Linked DNA regions of Drosophila melanogaster. The protein of the gene in region 3 interacts with the protein of the main gene of each other region in a pairwise test. Each region holds a gene or a part of one and is shown on either strand. Other genes may lie near its edges.

Region 1 (7,973 bases), on a different chromosome or scaffold from region 3:
GAAATGAAAGTGGCTGTCAACTGGAGATTTGACAGCTGCTTTATGCCGGCGACAAGGATCGATGATGGAATCGCAATAGAAGGTAATAATGCCCATTGGCATCCTGTCAGGTGCGTAGACAGACTTGCCACAGATTATTTCACTTAGCTCCCTGGATAATGTGAGATAATTAGGCGGTGGACTGGAGAGAGGTGAGTGGAATGGAGTCCACGGAATCGGCGGCTCATTAGCACATGGCACTCGAGGAATACCCCGTGGTAGTCCACACTTACTCATAAATGCCATAGATCTTTTCGGGGGCCACCAGCTGGCCCACTTGATGGCATAAACAGATTGCATGGGGCTCGCTTTGAAGTGCGAATTACCCGCGGGGTCAACCGCAACATGCATGTACGTATGTACATATATACCTCTTTATAACTGAACAACAGGGCCGTGAAAATGGAAAAGTTGGGGGAAAATGGATGAAAATGGGGGAAAGATGGGGCTTCGGTTTCGCTTTTGGCCGTAATACATCTTGGAAATCTGTTTAATGGGCCGCACGGCCACTTGAGAGGCTTTTTGAAGCTGTTGCTATTTTAATGTGGTCGATATTCTAAATTTAAACAAATAAACAAACATCCATTGCGCTGCTGTTGAAAGTTTATTGTTGTTAAACCTGTGCAGCAAAACTGTTTGATATTCCTTTACGTTTGCCCGGTTGAGTAGCCGATAATTTGGCACTTAAAACGTGCGAAATTCATTCACATTTCCATTTCCACTTGATTCATTTTGGCCGGGAAACCAATCAATGTGAGTGCTTGGTTTATGTTTTTTTGTTTTCCACACCCCGCCTCACCAAAAACATCCGCCCAGCTTGGCTTTTCCGACCGACTCCAGCCACCTCAATCCGCCTAGAAAATCGAAGAAAACTTTTCCTGCGGCTGGAAATCAATATGAGTAATACGAAATAATAATCCACGAGATTCCCGTGGTTTGGGGGCCACTCGAAAGCCAGCCATTCTCGATTTGTGTATAGATTGCTCTTTTTGAAGATGCCAAATAGCTGCGAAGGCGAAGTTATCACTCAATTTATAGGTTTTTCAAGTGCAAATGAGGTGCTGTCAGGCGGGAAATGCTACAAATGATTCGAGTTATTCGAGTGAATTAAAGTTGGGCAATTTGTAATCTCATATTTTAGATACAATTAATTCTTGTTTTCTCAAACATATATATAAATTCTTGGTTATTTAAAGATTTCAAAGAATATTTACCTTTTAACTCCTTCAGCGAACATTAAAAAAAAAAAACCAAGAAACCGCCCAAGTCTGCAAAACACAAATCAATTGCAGTTGCCAACAAACTCAATGGCTAAATAAATTATGGTTTTCGCTTACCGCTATCGACTTCAAACCCGCCATTAATTAACACCAACCCTTTTGGCCAAGGAGCTGAATCGAAATGGCCGCGATTACTCGAGTGTCCAACACCTGTTACCAACAAATAAGGAGCGCAGGGTGGAGTAAACTACCGCCGTCACAGGTCAACAACCAGTTTATTGCTCACGCATTTCATTTCAGAAATCTTCTGGCGTTCCGAAAGTCATCATTATCATCGAGGATGCTGGCAGAGATTGGTGGAAGGGGATGCTGGAGATGGAGCTGGAGCTGTAGCTGGAGCTGTAGCTGGTGCCATGCAACTAGTGTCAAGAATCGCATAAATTTCCGATTCCGGGACGCCGAGTGTGCCATTTAATGGCCGGCAAAGGTCACGTTCACACCGCCGTAATGGCTAATGGGCAAAGAGCGGGTCCTGACAATTCAGGTAATGTGGATAATTTGCTGTCAATGATGTGGAACGAAGGGGCCCGGCTCTCTCTGCGGTCCTCGCTATTTGTTGTCAAACAACACGGCAGCGGCATCATCTCGGCATCTACTCCTCTTAATAGTCCGTGCTGCATTTTACGGCGACTATAAATAGGTTCTACTAGATGTTAATGCCTTCCAATAAACGCAGGCTCATGGGGCATGTGGCATGCGGCATGGGGCACCCCATCGATTTTTGACAAATCACCGCTTGTCGAGCACAGCCACAAATCCATGCTGATCGATGATTTGTTGTCTTTGATCTCGGGAGCAAGCCACAGTGGTGTCGAGTGATTAAATCAAATTTTGACAAGGTGTCGACTGGCGGCACTCCGAGTGTATTTGCCGCAAAGTGTGCCTGAAGTTGAAAATCTTACAGTGGAGCTTCATAAACAGGCACTGTACGGGGAGTACCCAAGTACCTAAGTTTGGCTAACAATCTTAACACAGCGGATTTGAAGTAACTAAACTTTGAGTATCTTAACATGCAAAAGAGTCGAGCGATGTAACATGTCGCTTTCTCTCGAGGCTCTACTGTAATGTATCTCAGCTAAATGCAAGCAGTTCACAGCATAAATCAAGCGATGACAACGTGAACAACAACACCGGTAGTCACGCACTAAACTATAACTATAACTACGCGATTACACACAGCGATTAAGTTGCGGTTGGGGAGCTGCGCTGCGACTAAATAAACAGGATCCGAGGCGTTTTATGGCTTAGTGCGAGGGATATGTCAAAAAAGATGCGGTGAAATGCATAGGAAAACATAGTTTCACAACGAAAAACATCGATCGGTGTTCGAAGACGAAATCAGACCAAACCGAGCTGGGCCATAAAAAACAATATTTGTTTCCAATACTATTCCCAGCATAGGTCTAAAAATAAGCAAGCTAAACACGCAGGGCAGCGACATCTTCGAGAGAATCGGAGGACCATGGGCCATAGGATAACCCATTGTTTTATGACCCATTCTCACCAGCGGTAAGCGATCGTAAAATTTGAATAAATCGGGAGAGAGCGTGAAGAATCCTTTGTGGCATTGGCATCATCCACACATGTGAACTTCAATTGCTTCGGGCATTTTGGATTTTCAGTTCTTCGATTTGCGTTCAATGTTTTTATTTCTTTCAAATGATCTCTGCTTTCTACTTGAGAACGGAACGATCGTAAAAATCGAGCGTAGTCCTGTTTGAAATGTATACACAATTGTTTTACGACCTTTTAAGATATAGACCAAGACTTTCGGTTGCATTCGGAAAATTGCGTACTTGACTGCCGCGAGTTTACTCTCGCTTTCCTTCGTTCGCTCGGAAAAGTCGTAAAAATCGGAAGGCAACTGCCACGAGATAGCATGGGATGTCAAGGGACCAGATAATGCCGACTTCTGGCATTATCTTGCCAGCTGCTATCCGGTGGAATGTATAAACGGAGTGCTTCTTGGAATCGCTTTATTTAAATAATGTTTACAAACCAATTGAACTGACGAGTTATCAAAGCTCTTTAGTGAGTGCTATCAAGAGATTTGAAAGTTATAAAATGATTAAACATCTAAATGAACTTTTTCAAGCCAGAAAAAGGCTAAATTAGTGACTAACTCACGCAATGATTACATACATACATATGTAACCTATCATAATACTGCAGTATAATCTTTTTTAATAACTGGGACTAACGATGTACGCATGAGATCCTAGAAGCTTTACATTATTTCCAAAGATTTAAAAATTCCCTTTCAAGTGCCCGTAATTCAAGTGTAAACTTTGCTCGATTTTCATTTGTTGAAAAATCAAAATCTACATATTATTCAAAACACACTGGGACTCTCCCACACTCACTCACACATGGGGAAAAGGTCTTGACTCCGCCCATCGAGGAAAATACAGGCAAATGAGAATGGACATAAATAAACATGGAAAGAGTAGAGAACATATTTGTAGGAACGCCCCCTCAAAAGAGAGATCTGCCATATAACGGGTATATGCGAAAAAGATATAGTATAAGCAAGGATATTAATTAGTAATGATATAATCAATCTAAATCTAGTACTACAAAGTTAATAACTGAATACACTTAAATATTAACAACATCATCTTATTATATTATAACATAATAATCTCAAATATATTATACTTATTTCATATTTCAATTTATTCAATTTCTTCCTTAATAAAATTTAAATTTTTCAAGGAAAATTGTTTTCCCCTCTCTGAGAACTTACGCATGTGTGGATCTTTTGGTGAGGGTGTTTGCATATCCCTATATTTATAGACCAATGCGCTGCTCTCCCCCAAAAACACACACCCATAAGATTGGGATGAGGCATTACAAGTGATCTGCGTATCCGAGTTCATTCATTAGTCGATCGGACTTCTTGGCTGACGCAACACATGGTCCACAGTCGCGCTCGAATCGCCCACAAAATCGGAAGTAACAGCTAACCGGAAAACAGGACAAAAATCCTAAATATCTAACAAGTTAATGTGAAGTGATATTCGAAACAAAGTTCCCGAAAGATACATAAAGAGTATAAAAGAACTTTGAATCAAGTTACTGGGATTTCGTTTTGAAAAATGTTACCCTCTTGCTATGCCAATGGATCGATGCTGCCGGATAATGAGGAGCTGGTCAACTCCATGCTAGCGAATCCGGATTATCTCAGGACCCAGGTGTCACCCAATCCGCTGGCTCCAAGTGCCGTCGGAGGTGCGGGCATGGAGGGTCTGATGTGCGGATCGTTTTCACCGGCCTTCTACTACCAGGGCATCGATAGCTTTCTGGCCCTGCACAACAACATCTGGGGATTGCCTATATCCTTTCTGCACAACTCCCATCGACCGGAAAAGCCTCCTTTCTCCTACATTGCCCTCATCGCCATGGCCATCAGCAGTGCACCCAACCAGCGACTGACCCTCAGTGGAATCTACAAGTTTATCATGGATAAGTAAGTTAATTGAACAATACAAAAATACGAGATCTTTGATAGATCAATAAGTGAATTTAGTTTGTAAATCAGCAAATAAAATTTCCAATTTCTGTACATATATTCTACTAAAGCTCTTGTTTTTACAATCCTACAAAAATAAATGTTCCGCCTTGTCTTAAATCGAGGAAAATTTAGATGACATTCTTGGCTAAATCAAATGCCAAAATAAACAACCGCCACATTCCAAGTATCTGTACAAACCAAAGAAGTTTTTATCCCGAGAAGAAGTTTTTATCACGAAACTTTTGCCACAACTGGGATTAAGTCGGTGAAATATGGAGCATTAATCCAATTTCTTAATGTGAAAATATATAAATATCACGCAGATTACTTGGTAATTATCCATATGAAATGGTTTCATTTATTGGCTTAAATTTATTAGTCATATCTTTAACAAATATTAAAATATATATGTATATATTTCCTTTCCTGAATGAACAGAGTGCATAAAAAATGGCGGCCAGATATATAAAATAGATCGCAAGTAATTTGAAAAACAGGAAAATGAACAATGTGTTTGTAAACTAAATATTTCCGATTTCTTTATCAACATAAACAAATATTATTTTTATTGCTTTTTCAAATCGCTTGATTTAAACAAACCAGCGGAGGATATAGATATGGGCTAATAAGATGTGTATCAACAGCAAGTTTTTCAGATTGTAAAATGATTTTTATATATACAAATTCAGATATTCAAAGCTGTGAAATTCTGAAGTAAATAGTTTTGATAAACACGCATTCGATTTATATTTATAAAATATCTTTTCCATTGTTAATTTATTGAAAATAAAGTATATATGTTTACCCTTTCAAAATTTGATAAAAATGTCAAGGAAATATAGCTCCTAATTAATTAATTAATTGGATAATATCCAATTATTTTTTAGATTCCCATATTACAGGGAGAACAAGCAGGGCTGGCAGAACTCCATTCGCCACAATCTGTCCCTCAACGACTGCTTCGTGAAGATTCCGCGGGACAAGAACACAATCGAGGATAACGACAGTGCTGGGAAGGGAAGCTACTGGATGCTGGACTCATCGGCATCGGACATGTTCGAACAGGGAAACTACCGCCGGAGGAGAACGCGCAGGCAGAGGCACTGTGGCCATCCAAATCGCTACGAGAGGGAATCGGGAAAGGTATAATGCACATCTAAAAACTCATAAACAAATCGAATAAATGAATTTATCTGCAGGATTCAAATGATGGCAACAGTAGTGCAGCAGAGATTCGCTCGCCCAGCGAACCGCTGAGTGACTTCGATATCTTCTGCAACGAGCGGCCCAATTACTCCGACAGGATTACGGATCTGCACAGGCAGTACTTGTCCGTATCCCTGGGCTTCAACAGTCTGTTCAACAACGAGGCCCGCGGACTCCGACCACTGCCCGAGATCAGGGAATGCCCAGACGATGTGGACGCCTCGTCCAGTTCCAGCAAAGCAATGCAAAGTTCCATGGAACTGCACGAGGAGCTACATTCGCCGAGCGCCTTTACTCCTCCTCTCAATCGACGGGAAACCTCGTCATCGGGTGCACCTGTCCTTGCCGAAGCTTTTAATGGCATCAAGGATGTGGTGGATGCACCTGGGAGCAGTCCAGTGGCCAGCAGCAACCGATCAAAGACCACGCTGTTTACCATCGACAATATCATTGGCAAGCCATAAGCAATGCACCTCTTTTGGCTTAATTATCTTAATTTAGTGATAAATATTCTTGCATAAAATACATAAAAGTGATGGAGTTTTAAAATATAGATTGGTTTGCATTGGCCGTTTTCTAATTGCAAATTGAGAATTGAATTGAATTAAGCTAACTTCTTTTTGGCGGTAAATTTCAAATATGAAAGTAGTATTTTAGAGTGACCCTGCACTCTATGGCATATACTAATACGTTGAACTAGTTCCATTCAACAGGGTGAATATTTAGTATTTGTAGCCGTTACGAGCAGCGGGAAACACAGCAACACTGAGTAAACATATGTTTTTGTAGCGTAATATAAATAAAATAGCATAACACAAAATGGAATTTTTACACGAATCCGTTGCACTGGGCGTGGATCTGCTAATACTTGGCCTGTGTGCGCGCGAGTACGTGCACTACAAGCGAACTGCCAAGGTGCTGAAGGTGCGTATAGAAATACTAATGCACGTAATAAGTGGCGTTTATTGAGTGAACTGCTGCTTTTCAGGCGGCACCACAATACAACATCGATGGAGACCTAAAATCGGTGGTGGAGCGGCAGCGCGACAAGAAGATACCATATGCGGTAATCCGGGGCACAGTGACGCCCATCGGGGTGCCACTGAGGAGCTCCCTGGTGCCCAGTGTGAGTGGAGTGCTGCAGATTGTGAAGCTGCATGAGCACAGGGTAACGCGCGGATTCGCCGGCTTCTGGACGGAACAACACAAGTTGCTGCACGAATCCGCCAACGAGATGCCCTTCGAGTTGCGTAACCAGAGCCATGGTGTGGAGATTGTGGACGCCTTGAGTGCCGCCGTCTTGGACGTGGACGTGGTCTACGACAACTACGAGCCCTCCAATCTGTCCCTCTTCGACCATGTGTTTGGTTTCTTCTCTGGCGTCCGTCAGAGGGGATTGCAAACGACGGAGGAGGTGCTCAGAGAAGGCAGCTTCCTGACCGCTATTGGTGAACTGGAGTTGGATGGCGATACTCTGCGCATGCAGCCCTCCAATGAGGGACCGCTCTTCCTGACCACTGCCACCAAGTCCACGCTTATTAAGCGGTTCGAAGATGCCAAGACAACGACGATGTGGGTGGTGCTTACTCTGGGTGTATACTCTTAATACTTTCTACTTAATCCCTTCTAGACTCAAGCTGGTTGTGTGCAGCACCATCTCTGCCATCCTGGTTGCCTTCATTGCCAAGAAACTCTACCGAAAACGAAAGCAGGAGCGGGAGGAGGCCAAAATTCGCGAACGCCTGGATACGGAGCGTCGGGAGCGGAGGGCGAGGAGTCGTCCTCACACTCTGTCCCAGGATCAACTCTGCGTGGTGTGCTCCACCAATCCCAAGGAGGTGAATATAACCCTTGCATTCCTATTGCGAATTTACATAATTCTATCCTCTGAGAATCCGTATCTTGAAATTTAATTATTCTACTTGTATTGATAT
Region 2 (6,104 bases), on a different chromosome or scaffold from region 3:
CTTTAAAATTCATTTTTAACGTTTGCCCACCCTTTAAAATTTGTTTTTTTCGTTTGCCCACCTCTTAAAAATGGTTTTTTCGATTTTTCACCTATTAAAACTAAATTTGTACATATGTACATATGTAATAATTGTAAGATGTGGCGCCAAAAGCACAGTTACTTACAAAAGAACAGTTATTTACATATTTACATACATTTTCAATATATCCATAGTGTTAATCATTCATGAATTGTAACATCAATTTTTCTTAATCATTGTTTCATTTCATGGAAAATATTTTATTCCAGAATTTTCTTGAGCTTGGAGAGTGTTGATAAACATACATACATTTTTTTGCATATATATTATATTGCAATATAAAATATTTTCCATGAAATGAAACAATGATTAAGAAAAATTGATGTTACAATTCATGAATGATTAACACTATGGATATATTGAAAATGTATGTAAATATGTAAATAACTGTTCTTTTGTAAGTAACTGTGCTTTTGGCGCCACATCTTACAATTATTACATATGTACATATGTACAAATTTAGTTTTAATAGGTGAAAAATCGAAAAAACCATTTTTAAGAGGTGGGCAAACGAAAAAAACAAATTTTAAAGGGTGGGCAAACGTTAAAAATGAATTTTAAAGGATGGGCAAACGAAATTATTTAGTTTTAAAAGGTGGGCAATCGAAATTATTTATTTTTAAATGGTGGGAAAACGTTTTTTATTGAAAAGTTTTATTTTGAAGAGGTGGGCTAACGAAATTAGTTGTATTTCAAGTGTGGGCAATCGAAAAAAAATTTTTGTTAAAGGTTTTTTAAAGGGTGGGCAAACGATAAAAACTAATAATAATGGTTGGGCAAACGTTTTTTGTTGATAATATTTGGTTTTAAGAGATGGGCAAACGATTTACTCTCTGATTAGACCGAGGTAAACTTAAAAGCCTTATATTTTCTAAAGTATAAATTTTTTCAAAATTCTAAAGGGTGGGCAAACGTGGGCAAACGATGTTATTGCGATTTAAAAAAAAAAAATTTGAAAAAAGCGAAATTTTTGATTTTCGAAAATTTTCGAACTTTTTCGAAAATTCATATCTCAAAAACTGGACGTGGGCAAAAAAAACTAATTGGTGGGCAAACATGGGCAAAAAATGGGCAAACGATTCCAGCTTTCAAATTTCAAAAATTCGATTTTTCCGACCCCAGCTTCTTTGAGCTGGTAATGGACACCTTAATGATTCTGATCAAGCTAAACTACGAATTTGTTTTGATTTTTAGCTATAGGTATACATTCATACTCCTCAAACAAGCAGAACTATGTATTTGTTGCTTATAGGAACCCCCTGTTTTATCAATGAAATACGACTTCTTATCTGAAGATATAGCCCCTCTAAATCCAGGAAAAACTCACCCATAGCTCGGTGCCCCAACTCATGTTGTTGGAGTTTTGCGCTGAGTTTTCCGATTCGGCCAGTTTGTTGTTGCTGCTGCTTCTGCTCGATCCGCTTGCCACTGTATTTGTTGTTGCCGTCGTTGTTGTTGTTGTTTTAATAATAATAATCCACAGAAGATAATGTAATCCACAGACGATGAGGAGAGAGGGAGAAAGGTAGAAAGCGAGGGAGAAGAGCAAAAGATGAGAACTTTTATTCGTTTTTGTTTTATATTTTCCCGCAAAGGTTAATTAATTTTATGGCTGCTTTTTCGTTTTCATTTTCCGTTTGTTTTTCTATATTTTTTTCAGCGTTGCGCGGCGCGATGTTTAATTTTCTATGAAAGAGAGCAATTCGAGTCAGATATATTTCATTTTTGTTTTTTTTTTTTTCGGTGGTTGGGCAGGTAAGAAAGCATGTAAAAACAAAAAAGAGTGGCAATGCAGACGTGTCAGTTGCAGCGGCAGGTAGAAAAATGAAGTTGAAGGAAATTATAGATAATGAGAATTTAAACACTTTTTTTGGGAGTTGTTTAGTGATAAGTGCAAAATAAGAAAATTCTATGCACTGGCATTTCGATGCGCAAAGAGAGTGAGGAGAGAGAGGGAGCGATAGAGATAGAGAGCGATGCAACTGCATTTCATAATTGAGAAAAGCAGAAAGAGAGGACAATTGGAATTCTACTATTGTTGTATTTACATAATTTCGCACACACACGCACACAAGTAAACGCAATTGCCGAATGCACGCACTCTGCTTCTAGATCTGCCACCGTTTTTTTTTTTGTTATTTGTGCTAACTTTTTTTTTAGCATTTGCTTTGCAGTTGCAACTTCTTTCGATTTTGGGTTTTATTTAGCGCCTGCACTTTCGCATGCGTCATAATTCGGGCGACATTTGCACACACACACAAGCACACAGTTAAAACACCCGCACTCACACAACGCAAGCATTTGTTTCTCCTTTTTGGCGTGCGAAAAAACAATTTTATCCGCTCGCAACTTTCCGCTCGTTTTTTCACTTCGGCATCAATACACAGTGTGACCGCAATGTGTTTGAATAGGCACACCTCTGCGTTTGCAGTGTGACCAGAGACCGATGGCGACCTAATTTCTAACTCTTTAACATCTAGCGGGGATATGAACCCATATTGAGAGCAACTGTAAAGTTTAATTATTATTATATAAAATATATGAAACTTTCGTTAATACGTGCCCCCATTTTTTTTTATAATTTAACGTTAATTGTAGACTTTTTAAATATATTATTGTGGCCTTGAAAACTAATAATTTTATGGAATAACATAACGTTGAAACAGATGAAGAAAGCTATTATTGAGCTTGGAAGAAACTTCTTATTATTGTTTATTGCTTTTAAAGTAACAAGAGCATCGCTTATTGTTGTATATAATATATTAATTTGAACATTAAATTCACTGGAGCAATAGATTTTGGCACACTGTAAGGTGTAAGCATGTGCGCCAGGCGCTAGATCATTTTTAGTACTTTCCTTGCATCAGCTGTTAACACTATCAGCTGGTGGGTCAACAATTACATTAGATTTACTAACTTTTTAATGAATTAAAACTTGAGAGAAACAACGTTAATATAAGAAATTAAATTCCTTACCAGCTCATACAATTCACCGGTCACAATGCCTTCTTACGAACTAGCACTGGTGCTCCGCCAATTGCCTCGCGTGAGTAGCACATGAAATCCACCGGCAGTTACATAAAAGTAAATAAGAATTGTACACCGCCCGCAGCCCGAACTGATTTCCGTGATTAGGCGAACGGCCGAGTCCATCCTGGACAAGGGCGGCATTATCCGGAAGCTGGAGAACCTGGGATCCCGCGCCCTGCCCCACAAAGTCAGCGAACACGGGGTGGTTCACCGGGAAGGCACCCACTTCACCATCGCCTTTGATACGGCGCCCACTAAGATCGCAGACTTGAAGGAGGAGTTTGGCCGCGACATCGACATCATACGGCGCTACATCTTCAAGGTGGAGGAGCCCGAGCAGAAGCCCTGCACGCTGCACGAGGAGATGCTGCCACCCGCGTATCGCAAGGATGTGCAGGAGATCATTGCGGCCGCCCAGAAGAAGCAAAAGAAGAAGTTCAACTACAACTCCGGCCTGGACTACTATCCCTTCCAAAAATAAAACACCAAATAAAACGCGTTAATTATGTATGCTAAAACCGGTTGTGGGTTCCTCGATCTTTGGCTAATTCAAACTGAAGCATTCCTTATGAAATGCGCCTGTTATCTTAGTACTTTTCACAATGTTTGTCTTTGTTTGGTTTATGGCGCCCAATCGGACGCTTATCAATTAATTGATAAAGCTCCGTATAATCGACCATCAATAGAACGTAAATTGTCCAGGTAGTGCCTCAAGAATCGTCGAGCAGTTCACTAGTACTTCCTCCTGACCGCAAACGACCTAGAAATGTCACCGCAAATCCGTCCACTTACGCCAGAGCTGCAAAAAGTTGCCAAGGAGCAGCTCAAGGAGGATCCCGAACGTCTCGAAGCCGATCTGCAGGCGTTTAAGACATGGATCGAGCAGCAGCCGCATCTAAATCCCCGAATGGATGATCAGTTTCTGGTGGCTTTCTTGCGCGGCTGCAAGTACAGTTTGGAGCGGGCCAAGTCCAAGTTAGATAAGTACTACACGCTGAAGACCAAGTATCCGGACTATTTCCGAGTTACCAACACCACGGATAGCAAGTTCCGGGAGATTCATCAAACGGGGTAAGGATTTTGACGCCAGCTAACTAATTTAATTTATCAATGCAATTCTGTCAATTCAGTGCCATCATCTACCTGCCCACTCCGCTGAATGAAAATGGACCTCGCATCGGGATCTGGCGCATGGGATTGGTGCCAGTGGAGAAGTACACAATGCTGGAGTGCATGCAAGTGGCCCAGGCAATGCAGGAGATTGCCATTTTGGAGGACGACTACGCCAATGTCAATGGAGTAGTTTTCATTATGGACATGAAGGGTGCCACCGCCGCACACTTGTTCCAGATGACGCCGTCGATGGCCAAGAAATTCACTGTCTTCTCGGAGGAGGCACTTCCACTGCGTCTGAAGGCACAGCATTTCATCAACACCATCACCGGATTCGAGCAGCTGTTCAACATGTTCAAGCCAATGATGTCCAAGAAAATGCAGTCTCGCCTATTTGTGCACGGCAACAAAATGGGGCTCTTGACGGAGCAGATTCCACTGAAATATCTGCCCGAGGAATACGGCGGCGAGAATGGCACCACGCAGGACATCGTGGCCGCCATGGAGAAGAAGTTGGACGAGTACGCCGATTTCTTCCAGGAAAATGTGAACTTCGGCACCGACGAGAGCCTGCGTCCCGGAAAACCAATCGATTTTGAGGGGCTTTTCGGAGTAGAAGGTTCCTTTAGAAAGCTCAACGTGGACTAGTTTCAGTTTGTAACTTTAAAGATTTTATTTTCTTATCAGCCAGTTGAAAAAGTTGTCCAATTTAGTGGCTAGAAAACACATTCGCATCAGTTGAATTGTAAAATCCAATAGTAGGAATGATAATATAGGAATACATGAATATGCTACGATACTTCGCAGCAGTTTTAGGTTTCTCCTATATAAACATTGTCCTTTTAGCTTTTATTATCATCTGTAGAAGCAGATCTTTCGCTGCCATTTAGTTGGTGCGGATTTGAATATCTTTCTTCGGTCCAAAGACTCTTCCAGGTACTTTTGTATCTGAAGATCCACATCAGATCGCCACTTAAGTTCCAGGAAAAGAGGGAATATCTCTCCGGCTTTTTTCAGGCGTCTCTCTGCTTTCTGATAGCATTTCCAGGGCTGTGGTTCCACCACCAGGAGCTCTGCCAGATTGGAGAGCTTTTGCAGAAAGAATCGCAGGCCTTGATCATGGTGATTCAAGTGAATCCACATGGTAATGGAGTAGCAGCAAATGGCATCAAATTTCTCGAGATTATTCACCTCCATATAGGTTTTAACGGATTCAAAGGCTTCATCATCGAGGACATCCACGCAGGCGTAGCTCACATCTTTCGGGGATTCATTCTCCTCGCTGGCACGTTGAATCAGCCGAGGGTCTATATCCACACCTAGAACTTTCACAGATCTATGAAGACGTTCCTCCAGATATTTATGCATGAGTTGAGTGAGTACGCCGCAATTGCAGCCCACATCCAGGATGAAATAGGGTTTATCCTTTTGGGTTTCTCCATCCTCCAACGCAGGAAGCCATATGTCCGCGTCTGGTAAGAGTTTCACGCGTTCTGCGGCGGAACTGAACTGATAGTAGTTGAAGAAGTTGCCATATTGAACCGCGCCGGGATCGTTGTTTCTAATATCCATATTTTATAAGATTCGTGTTTTTATTTGTTTTGATTTCACAGAAACATGCTGCTAGAGATGGTCGTTGAGACGATATATCATATTTAAATGCACAACAAAGTTAACATGCCATCTCTAGCAGCGCTGTTAAGTGAGTTAACATCTACAATTTTCACAAGGCCAGTGTTAAAAGGTGCAGTTTAAGAAAACCGCCAAATTCAAACTGCATCTCCAAATAAAACTCACATGCATTTTCATCATTTTTGCGTTTATTTACTGCGTTCTTTGTTTATATTTGTCGAAACGCCTCTTGCTATCTGCTTATACGG
Region 3 (9,316 bases):
CCGACCTAGCGAGTTCACACTGTAGCTTCACTTGTTCGCTTCTTTATCATTTAACGTGTTTCACACATTTTCGCTTGCCACATAGCGGAGCATGTGTAGATGTTTTTCTGTAATCTTTTTTCCGTTTTTGCATAAATTAATGTTTTTCCACTGAAAGAATGGGGGGCTTATGTGGGGTACACATCGCATATGTGGAGGTTCTTTGGTGCCCAACAGGAAATGGCCAGCACTGTGGATCCACTTTTCGCTGTTGTTGTTTGGCGGCCTGTGGGCAGAACGTCATTGAGAGCGGAGCCACCGTGGAACGAAAATGGTGCGAACGACGCCCACCGAGCCGAAAAAAAAGTATATGCATAAAAAATAAAGCCAACCAGTTTCATTGTTATTGCTATGAATGCAAATAAATTATGAAATAATTAACAGTCAACAGAACCGCCAACGCGAGACCTTGGTTTCAATGGGCAAATCCACGGTGAGTGGTTGGAAAATAGTTACATACTTTCGAAAAGGGTTTGTAAAATATGCCTAGCTTAAGTGAGTTACTTAGCATATGTTCGGATCTGGAGGGGAATACCTTAGGTTCTACTCACCCAATATCATGCGTAGGTGTCGCAGTCGGGAGGCGGAATCCTTCTTGGAGTCCTGCAACTTGGCCGTGGATTTCTTCACGTCGGCATGCGATTTTTTTGTAAACATTTTGCACCTTGTGTTCTTCGCCCCGCGCACTAACACACATCACACACACTCGCTCACTCACACTCGCACACACACTCACGCACATACAGGCACAAGTGCAGGCGGTATACACTTTCTATTCGCTGATTTGTACTGATTTTTCTCCGATTTTTTTTCTCTGCCTTGTTTTTTCTCTGGCTCTTTCGGCTATTTATTTATACGCGCACGCCAACGAAAAAAAACCAAAGAAAAAAACACCTATTGTCCAGCGGAGCGCCCCGGAGAAATTATTTAGCAACGCCCGCTCGGCGCGCGGAGGGGTGGTGCGGGGGCGTGTGTGTGGGTTTCGTCGCTTTGCGCTGCTGTTTATCGCAATTTCTTAAACTTATTCCATTGCGATTTATTCACGGGCACACTCGGCAACGCGCTTTTGCACTTGCAATCCAACGGCTGGCGATTTACAGCGCATTTTTCCAGCTTTCAGCGTTTATGTTTTCTTTTCCATTTGCGTCGCGTCTTCAGTTCTTTTCAGGTTCCGTTCGCTGACTGTGGTTCCGGTTCGCAGCAGTGCTGGCAGGTTCAACTTGACTGCACGGAACTAGTTCGCACCATGAACCAGTCGTTGATTTCAAATAGTGCGAATTATCAAATTTCTTAACATTACAGCTAAGAAGACGTTCTTTAATCAAGTTTCGTACAAATAAAATCATTGTGGTTTTTATTTTGAAAACATTACTAGTTAAGTTCATTACAACAACACAAATAGTCAAGGTATTCAATATTAAAATCTCACGCTTTAAAAATATCAAATATCAAACAATATAATTTTTATGTGAGGCTCACTTAACTGGCATGTCTGTGTTTCACACATAATACTTCTGTGATTCGTTGAACCAATATATTATTTAATCGCAGATAAGAAGCTTGGTAATTAAGTAGCCATTTGGCCAAAGTGACTAGCTTGAGTTCATCCCCAATTCATCCTCAGTACAATGCGATTCCTGCGAAGGCAGACACGTCGACTCCGCTCCATCTGGCAGCGAAGCCTTCCCGTTCGTTTCCGGCGAGGAAAACTCCATACCCAACTGGTCACGATTTGTCTTTACGCGACCGTTTTCCTTAACATACTTTACGGCGTTTATCTCGGCCGCTTTTCCTTCAGGCGCAAGAAGTTTGTGTTTTCCAAAGGGCTCACTATCTATAGCTTATTTGTGGCCACGTTCTTTGCGCTGTTTTACATCTGGAATATTTATAATGAAATTTCCACTGGTCAGATCAATCTTCGCGATACAATTGGAATATATTGTTATATGAACGTCTGCGTTTGCCTATTCAACTATGTGACCCAATGGGAAAAAACACTGCAAATAATTCGGTTTCAGAATAGTGTGCCTCTTTTCAAGGTCCTCGATTCACTGGACATTTCGGCGATGATTGTGTGGCGGGCATTTATATATGGCTTGCTCAAGATCGTGTTCTGTCCCCTTATCACCTATATAACGCTGATTCTATATCATAGACGCTCCATTTCGGAAAGTCAATGGACGAGTGTAACGACCACGAAGACCATGTTGCCACTGATTGTTTCCAATCAGATAAATAATTGCTTCTTCGGCGGCCTGGTACTTGCAAATTTGATATTTGCCGCGGTGAATCGTAAGCTGCACGGCATTGTCAAGGAGGCCAATATGCTGCAGTCACCTGTCCAGATGAATCTCCATAAGCCCTACTACCGGATGCGTCGCTTCTGCGAGTTAGCCGATCTTCTGGATGAGTTGGCTAGGAAATATGGCTTCACTGCCAGCCGCTCAAAGAATTACCTTCGGTTCACGGACTGGTCCATGGTGCTATCGATGCTAATGAACCTTCTCGGTATCACCATGGGATGCTACAATCAGTATCTGGCCATTGCGGATCACTACATCAACGAGGAGCCTTTCGATCTCTTTCTGGCCATTGTTCTGGTCGTATTTCTGGCTGTTCCCTTCCTGGAACTCGTCATGGTGGCTCGGATAAGTAACCAAACCCTCGTGGAGGTGATTGTCATATGATTAAAGTTTTGAAATACTTATAACGACTATTTGCAGACCAGGAGAACTGGAGAACTATTGCAGCGATTCGATCTGCAGCACGCCGATGCCCGTTTCAAGCAAGTGGTGAATGCTTTCTGGCTGCAGGTCGTCACCATCAACTACAAGCTTATGCCATTGGGCCTCCTGGAACTGAATACCTCGCTGGTCAATAAGGTATTCTCGTCAGCTATTGGAAGCCTGCTGATTCTCATTCAAAGTGATTTGACATTAAGGTTTTCTCTAAAATAATGTGGTTTGCATGACCTTTCAAGATTAAAAAGTATTTAAAAACACAGCGATTTAAATGTGGGCACAACTTTTTGAAAAAACCGCCTTAGCACAGAGTCAAAAAAAAATCTTATCGATAAGACTCATATGCGCGTTACTACTGATGTTTGTGTAAAACAATTATTTTGTTTTAGAACGTAATTTTAAGAAAATAAATTTAATTTGGTAACGAATTATTTAGTTTTTGTGTCTTTTGAGCATACTTTAAAGTCATAATGCGATTTCAAATATTCCGATAACACTGAAATAAATCAATCGACTCAGTTACTGGACAACTTATCGATATCGAAATCGATATCTATATTGAAAGTGAAAACTTCTGTAGACGGAATAAATTCAATTAGCTAAATTCGTTTTTAAGCAGTTTCTTTAGAATCCAGTAATAATAAACAATCATAAATCATGTGCGGCGGTTTCACCTGCTCGAAAAACGCGCTAATTGCGCTCAACATTTTGTATGTGGTAAGCGCAAACACAAACAACATGAAAGGAAAAACAACAACAGTTGTGCAAAGGCAAGAGCAGGAACAACAAACACGGAAGAGTAACAATGAATAAACGGCAACAGCAGCAACAACAAGAACCACATTGGAAAATGAATAATTTGATTTTGTATCATTTCGGTACATAAATATGTATTGATTTTCCTTTGCGGTGCCAGGTGCAATCTGCACGTGTGTGTGTGCGTATACATACCTTTCCGCCAATTGTTGTTGCTGCCCTCAAGACGAGAATCCTTGAGTCCTTTTTCATTTGCCTCCTTTCTTTCTTCCTTTTTTTTGCTTTGCCTGTGTGTGTGTGTGTGCGAGCGACCCCCAGATGATTGGATTCCTGCTGATTGGAGTGGGCGTGTACGCGCGTGCCGCCTCCATAGTGACCAACCTGCCGATTGTGGGCGGGATCCTGGCCTGCGGTGTCATCCTCATATGCATATCCATGCTGGGACTCGCCGGAGCCGTCAAGCACCACCAAGTGATGCTCTTCTTCGTATCCTTTTTCCTCAAAGCCTATCAATTTACAATATGTATATGCATATGTACATAGCAGGCAGCTACAGTCGTGGTCAATGAAATAGCAGCGCAAGAATATAGCATTAAATTATCAATAGGGTCTTTAAATGATAGTTAATCGTTCAAAATATGAAGCATATGAAAGCAGTGATCTAAAGCATCAATCACCATCAAATAGGTTAAAATCAGAGATCTAACTAAGATACTGCTTGCAATCATTTCTTTAAAGCTTAAAACACTAAATAGTTGGTAGCTTCATTGCAGGACCTTTTTCATATCCTAGCGCTGCTATTGTTCTGACCGCTATTGCGGCCCACCACGAAGGTCGTGGCATGTGGAACAATTAGCGTACTTAGACAAGTACCCACTTCCGCAGTGAAAGCGGGCCCGTAATGACTGAAATTATGAGTGGGCCTCAGTGGCTGTAGCTGCCGCCTCGCTTTTTGTGCTTCCATGACGTCAGCTGGAGGGTATCACAACGTGACCCCCAGTGGAAATATGGGAAAGCAAATGTTATATTTTGTAGAAGCACTGCCCGGTTTAGCCTTAACCTTTAGACTCTCCGCGGCTTCAGTACATGATCATTCTGTTCATGCTGTTCCTGATCCAGTTCTCCATCGCCAGTTCCTGCTTGGCCGTCAACTCCGAACAGCAGCAGCAGTTCGCCGAGCAAGGATGGATGACGGTGCCCACGGATTTGCGCAAACAAGTGCAGGATAGTCTGAAATGCTGCGGATTCAATGCCACCGCACCGAGCACAACTTCCGTGGTTCCCCCGTCCAATGAGCCCTCGTGCGAGCTGATCAATCAACAGTGCTGTGCCCACTCGTCCGAGCCGGACTGCCGTTGCGAACCATGTGGACCCCTACTGGAGGACAAGATCGACTATGCCTTCAAGTTGTGCGGCGGTCTGGGCATCTTCTTCAGCTTCACTGAGGTAATGCGCAAATAAACGCATATCTGATTTAAGTAATCAAATTTCCTATCAAATCAATCCCTACATGCTGCAATTAGTTCGTCGGCGTCTGGCTAACAGTTCGCTATCGCAATCAAAAGGATCCGCGGGGCTTGCCCAGCGCTTTTCTCTAAATTAGAAGCTAGTCGAGAGAGAGATAAACATTTTCCAGATACAGAAACATTCGAAAATTCTTTAGTGCATGTATATCTGCTCTGTCTCTGCTAAATGTTTAATGTTGCGATGAAAGATTTCATGGCCCTTGGGGCCGACATACCATACATATACAAGCATCCTTTATATTTATACCATCTACATATACATATATACATACATATATATTAAATCACATTGCCGCAGAACTATGTACGTAATGTGTTAGTTCGTAATTGATATACAACTTTAGACATATATACATATTATAGAGAGATATATATAGAAGGAGAGAGCAAAGCGTTTAACCCAAAAAGCAAGCAATCAGTTAAGAAACATATTTCCCTTTACTCTCAACACACTTTCTTTAACACTTTCGAAAAAAAATTGTACTAACACCTGACTGCCTACTCTTTGACTAAGCAAAAAACCAACTAGAGACCAAGGGTGAGAATTGTTTATATGCTGGCTTTAGTTTTTCTTTTAAATTCTATAATATCTGCTGAACACTGTTTAATTGATCTTCCTTCCACAGGTCCTGGCTGTTTTCCTGGCGCGTCGCTACCGCAACCAACATGATCCTTGCTATCTGCCCGCACGCGCCGTCTTTCCGCACGATTATTTATATTGAACAGGCTGAAAATACAACAAGGAAGTGAAACATTTTAGTCAAAGGGACGAAGGCTGAATTTTAATTCTTACAATCGCGTTTCCTAACCAGAATCGAATCCAAACTGGAACAAAAGATTACTCTTAATAGAAGGAGAAGGAGATGGTGGAGGAGTTATACATGTGCTCAACGCTGCTGCTATTAAGGATAATTTTATTTTACCATTCTACATGCTATAAATGCACAATGTTATTTAATTACAAAACCTCCATTGAGATTATGTTTAGATGTAATAATGTAATCTAAGTTTAACCGTTTAAAAGTCCTTAGTTAGCTCTTAATGCCTTTCTTTGCAACTCGCAACAATCATGAACGACTCGACGTGACTCGACCTCCACTCAAAACTACTGTACCACTACGAGACAAACATTTCAACAACCTGATCTTACTGTAGAACTAACAACCAGTCAACAATTGTAACTAGCAACGTAATAAGTATACATCAACCTATATACAAACGTAATTGCATTATTGCCCTCAAGGCGTATAAACAATACTCTAAATGTTAGCTGTGTGTTAAACTTTAAACTAGCGAGAAAAAATGCCCACAAAATAACAAAAAAAGAGTAATCCTCTATACATACATGTCAACAATTATACAAGTCTTTATGGATAAAACCCTACACATAAGAAAACTGCTTCTTCGAATTTTTCACTTCTTTTCCGCACTAGCTCGACTTTCTCTGCAGCTTATCCTTCTCGACTTTTGCCCTCGCCAAGCGCCACCAGCCGTCAAAAACAGATTGAAACACATCACACCCAACACGCTACTCCTCTACGCACACTTCACACTCACATGAAAATAGTTTCCTTTCCAGTTTCCTTTCGAGCGACAAGTAAACCATTAGATAATATTCTCTGTATTCTGTGCTGTGATTGAAGTAAATATGATCTTTAAAACAACATAAGCAAAACGAAAGCGAGTCTTGAGTTTCATTTCCCGCCTTTCCCCAAACCAAATTAATGAGCGACACTCCCACTTGGGAATTCGCGGTTGGGATATCATTAGCGAAGGGTCTCGGCTTACCACAGGCATCCTTACTTGCCACAAAAGGTGGCGGAATGGATGAGGGCTGTTCAGGTTGAGGAAGCATAGGAATTTGTATGATGGTGTTTTCCATTTAATATGGCGTACTCGTTCCTATGCTGAACTTAATTTGTCTATTAATTTTGAATTTGATTTATTTACTACTTTTATGCAATGTTTTGTTGAATGAATGTAAACTAACAAATATCCCATGCAGCAATAAAATGTTGTATATTATGTAAATTGTGTTTTTGATTTTGTCAAGTTTCTTGTTTATAAAATATTTTAATTTTTAACCATTTGATATTACAAAATGTTTTGTAGCTGCTTCTAGCGATTTGTACCCACAGCACAAATCGTGCCCGAACGCCATAATCATCATAAGCGCTGGAGGAGATTAACGCTAGCGCTTAGTTTGTCGCCTCTCTGGGCAGGAGTGAGGGGTGAGCCCAATGAGCAAGGTGGCCCACACACTCAACGAGAAAATGGCCAGGGAAGAATCTCACTCAAAGCTGCGTTGAATTGGGCCAAGTTCAACGCACTGCGATGCAGAAAATTTGTTTCTCTCAATGAGAAGAGAAGAGAGAGCTGTGCGCTTACGTAACGAGCACTCAGTCCAGGGGGCGGAAATCCAGGGGCGGCGTTTCCGCTTTTGCGTGTTGGAATGTGGGCGTGGTGGTATCCTGTATGCCGGGTTCGCCCCAGCCGCAAGTTCCTCGCCCCAAAAACACGCTTGTCTCATTTCTTGGTAGGCTTTGTTGACACTCGCTGCGGAAATGGTCAACAACAGATGCGACTTCGTCACATTTTCCTGCCTGCAAAGTGAAATGGAAATGGAAAATTCATCCAAAGTGTCGTGTCAACGAGGTGGGGAAACATCAGTATTTATTTGTCAAACAGATCAACGAAATGAACGTCTGTGTGGGAGGCTCTTGAGAGAAATATCCTGCAGGGACCCAGTGAATAAGAAGCAATGCACACTAAAAATAAAAATATCGATTCAACAAATGAAAATATAGTACATTTCTCTGCTTGTGTGCCCAATAAGCTGAAATTTTAAATAATATATTCGATTGCATACCTTGATGTCCTACAAATGTCGCTCAAAATGAACATTTACATGTGGTTTCAATATGACATACCAGCTTGAAAACTTTAGTTTTCCAAACATCCCTTTGCCTAAGCTAAATGTGATTGACCCTTTTATATTCGTAGTGCTTGACACGCGCCAGATATTAAAATTCCTAATGGCTGGGCTGGGTCCTTATCCCTAAATCCACCATATGCCGGGTTCTCAACTGTTGAGCCAACGTTGCGTATGAGCGATGTCTTGTCAATTGCGTGCCCCATGAGATATAAAACGATGTGATTCACGGCATAAAATACTGATGATTATTATTATGCAGTGGAATGGAAATTTCAGGGCATGTCTATTAAGATTTCTTTCTTGTCACTTGAATAGATGAACGTTTTTTAGCTCCTTCGAAGCGGAGCCGTCGCTCGATTGTCGAAAATCCATGAAGGCGAACCGTTTAGTCACCGTTTTACTGGCACCAATCGCTCTTCCTCTTCTTCGCTGGAGGTGGGTCCATTCCGCCCACCGTAGCTCGTAATTCGAATTTACTGCCCATGTCGGTGTCGTGTCATGTTGGACTTATTATCTCCGTCTGAGCCGCAGTCAACCATGGCGATGTTTTGGGGCACGAATGTGTGGTATATACATAGGACTGTATGCGATAGAGAACAGGCGAAATTTATTTGAATGTCAATGTCAAGTTAAAGTCAAGCCGCCTATTGATTACATTTAATTAAAACCACCGGACTGATGTGATCTCATCTGAAGGGAAAATTTACAGAATTCATTGGCTTGTTTACAGTATTTTCATCCAATTGGACTCATACATTCCTTGGCATTGAAAAGATATTGCTTCTGAAAATCTAAACAAAAAGTTTTTCTAGTAAACACCCATAAAACATTAACCCTTGGGAATGTGAAAAATAAGCATCTAATTGTTTCGGCTAAAAAGAAAAGTATGCACAATATTTTATATTGATTTGAAAAACATTACCATGTTTATTTTGACACATCTAAATGAATTTATGCACCCTTCAACTCGGGAAAATCATTCTAATGTATTCAGCAGCATTTCCATTAAGAAAATCCTTTACATTTCTGCTCAATAAATTCCTCAATCCGCTCGAATGGGAAACGCTTTACGACCCCCATAAAATGGAATAAAATGAATAAACAAATACCGACTTGGTGTGTGTGGTGTGTTTGCCTAACATGGCAGTTATGATGTGGCGCACATGGCGTATGCGCAACGTCCACCCCCACATCACTCAGGTTGCGTATACGACAAGTGGAGAGTTCCTCAGTTTTCAACACCTTTAAGGTTCTTAAGTTCACATTAAAAAATAATTTAATTCAGCTTTACTGGTCAGCTCATGTCCTGTAAGCCAAGT
Region 4 (6,811 bases), 3.9 Mb from region 3:
CATTTTATGTGCTCTCCGGCCTCCGACGGATTCTTTTTGTGTCAGTCGGTTTGCGGACCAGTCTCCGATCAGTCGAGTGGACCACCAATCCGGCGAAGATTGGGCGACCATGCTGAACGGAAAATTCTACACGGGCTTGCCGCCCAAAATGGTGGAGCGCCAGGCGGTGAAGGTGTGCAATCGCCAGGAGTCGCACTTCTTCTGGCCAGACGATTCCCGAGCGGATTCCGCGGTGGAAACCCGAGCAAAGAGGAGAAACAGCCAGCAGCTGGAGAGGCCTGTGGAAAGGATTACTTCCAATCAGAATGTATCCGACGAAGTGGACACACGGCGAATGTTTCACAAGGAGTTTGCCAGTTCTTCCATACAGTTCTATGATAATCTGCAGTCTAATCCTGGAAATAAACCTTCATTGGCAAGGGGTCTACGCAGAGAAATAACCCCAAAACTAACCGAAGTGAGACCGCAGGAATCGGATAACAAAGCTGAGGACACCAGCAGCCGTCGCCAGCAGGCTTACAGCTCCAAGATCCAGTTCTACGATTATGTAAACGAAGCAGATAACCTAACTCAAAATAACGCCAGGAGACCACAAATGGACTTGAATGACAAGCGCGAAGTGGAACTGAATTCCAAGAACAGTCCCAAGCTGCAGGTCAAAAGAAATGTGCGCAGTTTCAGCGTGGAACTGGAGCCCAAGGTCACCAAGAAACCCCTGAACGACAGTCCCGAGTGGCGGCGGCCACGCCCACTGCCCCTGCCCAAAAGGATACTGAAGCAAACGTCACAGGATCAGGACCCGTACGACCATCTGGAAAGTCGAGTCCGAAGATTGCAACTAACCCGAAGTCCCGGACTGCCCAAAAAGCATGTGACCTACAACGAGGAGGCTGCCGAGTACGCCTACTACGATGATCGGGTGGATCGCGATGATCGGGAGGATCGCGAGGATCGTGAGGAGCCCACCTACGAAACTCGCTACCGTCAGCAGCCAAATATGCCGACAGGAAGTCGCCAGCAGCAGCAGCAGCAGCAACATCAACGCTCTTTTATGGAAACTAGTCGGAGCAAGCCATTAAATAATAATAATAATTATCAGGCCAACGGCAATGGTAGGAAAATCTTTCCAAAAATGCCACAGACCCAATCCGGAGTGGGTAACACACACACTATCGACGAAGATCCCCCCGTGCCCTCTGACCCTCGCAAACACCTGCGCAGCAGCCTCTGCTTCAGCGGCGACGCTTTGATGGTGGGCGGTACGGCGTCGCAGTCGCCGCCCACTGCGCAGGCGCGTCGCAGCTCAGCGGGGCAGAGAGTGAGCGTGGGTCTGCCGGACTGAGGGCTCCAGTTCGCGTGTTCAGTGATTAGTGCAGCTACACAGTGAGAAATGCAAGTGCAAAAACATATAACTGAAGCGATGAAGAAGATCATACAAGAATATCTGCTTGACAATCATTAGGATGAAATAGTATTACAAATATTTCTCTATGTAGTAAGTCGACAGCAACAATCTGCATTGCTAATTGAAAGCCAACAGCGACTGCAACAGAAGCAGCAACAACATCTGCAGCACAACAGCCACATCAGCAGCAAGTTGATGCGACAGCAGCAGCTCAACCTTTTTTTAGTTTTTACTTTTACGATCCCATACAAACTCTGAATTCACCCACATGCGAATGAATGAGTCGGCTTTTTTGTTGTTTTCGAGCGGTTGAATATACATACATAAACAAACCTTGATCTTGACTAATTTGTCGGCGATGCTGTTGTTGTGCACCACGATCATGTATTAATTTAGCTTTTAAAGCCAACGCAGAAAAATCTATAATTATAATGATAGAGATATGCTAATAAACTAATACATATATAACCAAATAAATTTCGAATCGGGAAATATTCAATTAAGCCTTAAAAACCTACTATAGGCACAGAAAAATATACATGGGCACTTAATCAATTCGTTTGGTATTCAGTTTTCAAACTAATAATGAAAGAGAGTGAAGTTCAAGTTGTTATATATTTATATCGAGGTAATCGAAAGCAGGCGCACATTGAACTTGGAAAGGCTTGCCATGAATACAACGCAGCTATTCATTGTGTGCATTGTGTGAATAGAAACTTATTCATACCTCAAGCTCACTGATGGGCCTGTAATCTGTTTGGCAATATTATGAATCGATCTAGTATGTAATTCATAGACCGTAATGTAATTCGAGGCACCCTTTCGCGCGGCTTTTCTTTATCGACTCATTTGAAATTCCCAACAATTTGCTAGTCTGGCAATCAAGTCCGTTGCTCTGGGCAGCTCACCTGGCCAGCCCATTTTGGGGCTGGGGCTGGGGCATTCGCAGGTCCCTGCCCCTAGCTCCTTTCACAAAACTTTCAGAAAGAAAGAGCCATTGAGGTGGCATTGTTAGGAGCCAGCGGAAATCCAACCAAGCTTGCAGTCAAGTTGAAGTCCAAGTGCCAGTTTAAATCGCGACTGGTGGGGTTTCCGAGCGGTTTCACAAGGAAACGGGGCATTATGCGGCGTTGCAACCAATTGTCACGCGTGTTGAACTTGAGCTTGACCTTGTCTTGGAACGGGGTGTGGAATCCAACCACCCATTGTCCAGCCAGCAAATTGCAACAAGTGCGGCAATTATCCAACATATGCCACGGGGCTGCAATCAAGGCGGCATTAGCCGGGAATTTAATTAAGGCATCGCTTTAATTGCCGACAATCTGCAGCTGCCATGGGAACCCAATTCAAAATCCAGAGACAGGATAAGCGTGCAAAATAATTGTGCAAATGAAGCGTGGTGAAATGTTACGCAACTCCCTGTCCATATCCACTGCCATTTCTCAAACCATTTCTTCGTCCATTTCCATTTCCACATCCACATCCACTTCCACCAACTCCGGGACAAGACAAACTGCTCAACCTCCGCTCATGTACGTCCATACGGCATACATCTTCCGCATTTCGATCGCGCATCCTGGCCGATAGAAAGTAGTCCAAGCGTGCCGGCAAAAAAGGCGAAAGGGGCCAAAAAGCAGCGCCAGCTGGCTAACATTTCCTGGCTCGACTTGGCCCCGACTGAACCTGAACTTCGGGCCAAATGCGGAGAGAAGAAAAGTGCAGCGTTTATTGGGTAATACTCGTGGAAACCCGTTTGCCGCAAGACTGATTTAAAAAAGTCGATAGGATAGGTGGTTCTTCTGCTTTTTAGTGGGTGGGTGGCTCGTGCCGGTCGACGTCATACACATTAAAAAATTGTTGGTGTAAAGTGAGCGATTGTAATAGTTAAATATTTAATGGAACGTAGATATATTACCATTTTCGATTATGATTGTTATGATTATTAATTAGCAATTGTAAGTTTGTTACTATCGAATAAAGGCATTCCTTTTAGTTAGCTGTATATTAACAAGTTTGAGGTCAAATTACGCTACTCAAAAAAGCCATCAATCTTTGCCTATTAACTATATTGTCGTACATTTTGCATATCTAATTTGCTTACTTTCCTATTAAGTCACATACCACAACCTAAGCCCCCTCCACAGTTACAACTTCGAAGAAGTAAATGGCCATCGTTATGTGTAATTACGGCCATAAAGAAACATTTTATTTATGCCCCCTGCCCCATCCGATAAGTTGGCGCTCTATTTCCTAGTGGAAATGCAAATAATGCCTCACTTTGCGCGCGGTAAACTCTTTTTTTTTACTCCATGTTGTTGTGAGTAGTAAGTCCATGCGTGAAGCGGAGATTTCGATCTGCTACTGACTAGCTGCTCACCTGGCAGGTTTCAATTGCGATTGCCATTGCGAAACATGTTGCAGCAGGTTCGAGGAAGCTAGCATAAAACTGTTGCGTCCGTTGGCCGAACTTTCAGTTTCGTTGGGGCCACGCTGGTGGTTAATACCATTGAAGAGAGTTTTCACAAGACGCAATCACCCCGAAAAAGCCGCCACCCAAAATGAAAGTGTGCTGGAATGTAAGCTGTTGCATCCGCAATCGTAGATTCACAATTAACATGAAATGGATACTATCTCCTTAGTTCTTTGCTGCGGCGGTGCTGTTAGTGACGGTCACCTCGGGGCTGAGACCCCCACGATCCTACTATCGGAGGAGCTACTTCAGTGCAGTGGGTTCAGGATCTGGGCACGCACCCAGCTCTCTGCCAGGACCAGTGAGAATAGGACCCGCTAGTTACTTCCGTGCCGATCTGCAAACAAATGAGAGCAAGCACCGGCCACTGAGCAAAAAGTATCCCAAGAAGAGCCACTACAGACCCTACGGATCGGTAAGTTGGCCTAACAAATAAGATATCAAATAATAGGAAAGATCTAAAAGCCCGAAATAATACAATATTCCCCTAAAATATAGCAAGAGGAAGAGGACGAACAACGCTACAATTCCGCGGAATATTCAGGAGAGTCCTCCGTTCAGGATAGTCGGGAATACACGATTGGCACCCAAATTCGCGTCCAGCATCCCATAACCGTGCCCAAGAAGTCCAGTTCCGGCTACCAGAAGCAGCCAAAATATGTGACGGCCATTCCATACAAGGCATCTGGTTATGGATCCGATATCCACAAGCCCTCCGGTTATGGATCCGATGTTCATATTGGATCTGGAGAGGATGTTGGACCTCCTCCGAAAAGATCGAAGTGGACCCCAGTGCAATACGAATCGGAAGCCGATCCCTTCCATCTAGTGCCACCTCCAAAGGCAACCGTCGCCTCCAGCAGCAACTCATATAGTGTTTATGAGCCCGAACACGATGACTACGAGGTGGTTCCAGTGCCCCGACCAAAAAGCCACGATCGCTACAAAAGCGTCGCCTCCAAGAAACAAGTAGAGGCCTACCTAGAGGATCAGCAGAAGCTGCTCGACGAGGCCATCAAAGTTCAGCTTTTGAACAATCCGAAGCTGCAAAAATTCTTCAAGGCCCAGGCGCAGGAACAGGAGCGGGAATCGCGGCCAGACCTCGAAATCGAGGATTTTGAGGCCTATCCGCCCAACTTTTCGGGGCCCGGACACCTGCGCAACAAGTACATCGAACACCCACCATCTTCTCCGCCGAAGGGATCTCGATCACGCCGGCGTCCTCCAAGTGGAGATCTTAACCGACCACCCAAGACCATCATCAAACCGAAAAGGAAATACCGATCCACAGCACTGGTCATCAATGTGTGAGAGGGATTACTAAGTCCTGACTTAATCGTTAATTAAAATATCGTTTATAAATACTTAGAGTAGTCTTGTTGTACAGAGTATTTTTAAGTAATAAAAGACCATTTATTTTAAATGCCCCTATTTAAATGACTTTATCTTGGAAGTTTGGTGTTGATATGAAAGAAAATTATGGATATATTTTGATGCATTTAATTTATAATTTACGAATTTTAACATACGAGTTATTTGGCGCTTAGGAGCAGTTAAGCATAAATAGTTGTATATTTTATAAAGTGTTTTAATATACTTTTCTGTTGTATCTATCAAGAGAACGGTGGCGGTCTCTATCGGTTTTTGAAAGAAGTATAGAGTCTCGGTTCTTGTCTCAGCTAAATGTATGGTGTCCCGGCTTTTCTACCATTTCATGAGGAGAATTCGTCACCAAAGTGAATCCGATAAGGAGTGTTGCTGGCTTATTTGCTTAAAAAAAAAAAGATTATATCACTTAACTCAATTGCAAATAACCTTTCAATTTAATGATGTTTTCAAGTTTATAATACGCCACTTTAATTAAATATATTAATTACTCATCAATTTAATTGGATTCTGTATTCGTCACACCCACATCGCCATAATTGGAGTGAGTTCCACATTTCACGACAAATTCTGGCGACGTTTACCTTTTTAAAAATAAACGCAGTCAATCATAAACGTGTGTTGTTCATAAAAATAGACGTATTAAGAACACTTTGGAAGCAACACACCCATGAGACACCTGTTTCGATCCCAGGCAAATTCTCGACTCTTACCTCTTTCGCAAATCCGAACGAAAATCCGCAATTGAGCAAGCCAATTCAATCGATTGCGATTGCCGCAAAAGTGGGTGCACAAAGGCACGCGGAGAAGAAATCATAAAAAGCAATAAGTAGCAAAAAACAAAACCGAATTGATTTTCTTAATTGACTAAACAGTTTCAACAGAAGCCAGACCCCAAAGCCAGGCAAAGCAAAAATCCAAACTCCAAGCCGGACCCTCGAGTCCACAACAAATCTGACCTTGAAAGCTAAGCTCTGAAAAGTGTTGCTAATATTGTTAATGTAATCGTTGTCGGTGGTGAAAAGGAATGCCAACCAATGGATGTGGAAAGTACAGAGGGAAAAATGCTAAAAATAAAGACAACAATAAAATGCTAGCACTAAAAATATTTAAAAAATAAGTAAAAATGGAATCATGAATAAAATATAGTCAAATTAGAATAGATTTTGAGAGATATTGAATGAAATCAATTATTTCAGCATGCCCTGAATTAATTTATTATTTCCGAAGTAAATATATAGGTATAAGTGCAATTAAATAATAGAATAGCAATCGGTGCTCGAATTAAGTTGTAAACTATAACACACATATGCTGAGAACTCAGCAGGTGAGAGGAAATAGCAAATTAGCTGGCGGCATTCTTGCGTTCGATGGTGCATAAAATATGCAAAACATTTGGATGTTATTAAGTTGCACTAACGCAACTGGAGCCTGACGGATCGCAATACCATTGGGAATTGATTTAGAGCCCCAATCCCCTAATGAACCAGTGCCACCCCCACTTGCACATGGTTTTCCGGCTTAGCCAGCACCAGCACACCAGGCTGATT

The links.
Region 1: the proteins of Tsp97E (region 3) and FoxL1 interact in a two-hybrid assay, tested with the Drosophila melanogaster proteins (one large-scale study listed by BioGRID).
Region 2: the proteins of Tsp97E (region 3) and mRpS6 interact in a two-hybrid assay, tested with the Drosophila melanogaster proteins (one large-scale study listed by BioGRID).
Region 4: the proteins of Tsp97E (region 3) and CG15545 interact in a two-hybrid assay, tested with the Drosophila melanogaster proteins (one large-scale study listed by BioGRID).

The regions. Positions count from the first base shown.
Region 1 is NT_037436.4:4,014,677-4,022,649, forward strand, and holds FoxL1 (forkhead box L1), read left to right. Parts: upstream 1-4,201; 5' UTR 4,202-4,417; coding exon 4,418-4,788; intron 4,789-5,720; coding exon 5,721-5,976; intron 5,977-6,032; coding exon 6,033-6,503; 3' UTR 6,504-6,603; downstream 6,604-7,973. Other genes in the region: Mul1 (mitochondrial E3 ubiquitin protein ligase 1), read left to right, coding at 6,859-6,963, 7,028-7,611, 7,670-7,877. UniProt on the Drosophila melanogaster protein: Transcription factor. Coordinates the placement and migration of various organs during embryogenesis, including the salivary glands, hemocytes, germ cells and Malpighian tubules.
Region 2 is NT_037436.4:4,361,619-4,367,722, forward strand, and holds mRpS6 (mitochondrial ribosomal protein S6), read left to right. Parts: upstream 1-2,931; 5' UTR 2,932-2,967; exon of another isoform or gene 2,968-3,060; 5' UTR 3,061-3,082; coding exon 3,083-3,127; intron 3,128-3,193; coding exon 3,194-3,592; 3' UTR 3,593-3,625; downstream 3,626-6,104. Other genes in the region: Cip4 (Cdc42-interacting protein 4), read right to left, coding at 1,409-1,509, 2,130-2,244; CG33514 (uncharacterized protein), read left to right, coding at 3,878-4,182, 4,242-4,872; CG11342 (uncharacterized protein), read right to left, coding at 5,080-5,796.
Region 3 is NT_033777.3:26,958,824-26,968,139, reverse strand, and holds Tsp97E (tetraspanin 97E), read left to right. Parts: upstream 1-3,322; 5' UTR 3,323-3,437; coding exon 3,438-3,497; intron 3,498-3,854; coding exon 3,855-4,022; intron 4,023-4,619; coding exon 4,620-4,982; intron 4,983-5,059; coding exon of another isoform or gene 5,060-5,134; exon of another isoform or gene 5,135-5,600; intron 5,601-5,688; coding exon 5,689-5,784; 3' UTR 5,785-7,076; downstream 7,077-9,316. Other genes in the region: CG5521 (uncharacterized protein), read right to left, coding at 591-696; Gr97a (gustatory receptor 97a), read left to right, coding at 1,668-2,711, 2,763-2,996.
Region 4 is NT_033777.3:30,869,433-30,876,243, reverse strand, and holds CG15545 (uncharacterized protein), read left to right. Parts: upstream 1-3,892; 5' UTR 3,893-3,963; coding exon 3,964-3,981; intron 3,982-4,044; coding exon 4,045-4,290; intron 4,291-4,373; coding exon 4,374-5,186; 3' UTR 5,187-5,305; downstream 5,306-6,811. Other genes in the region: CG15546 (uncharacterized protein), read left to right, coding at 110-1,342.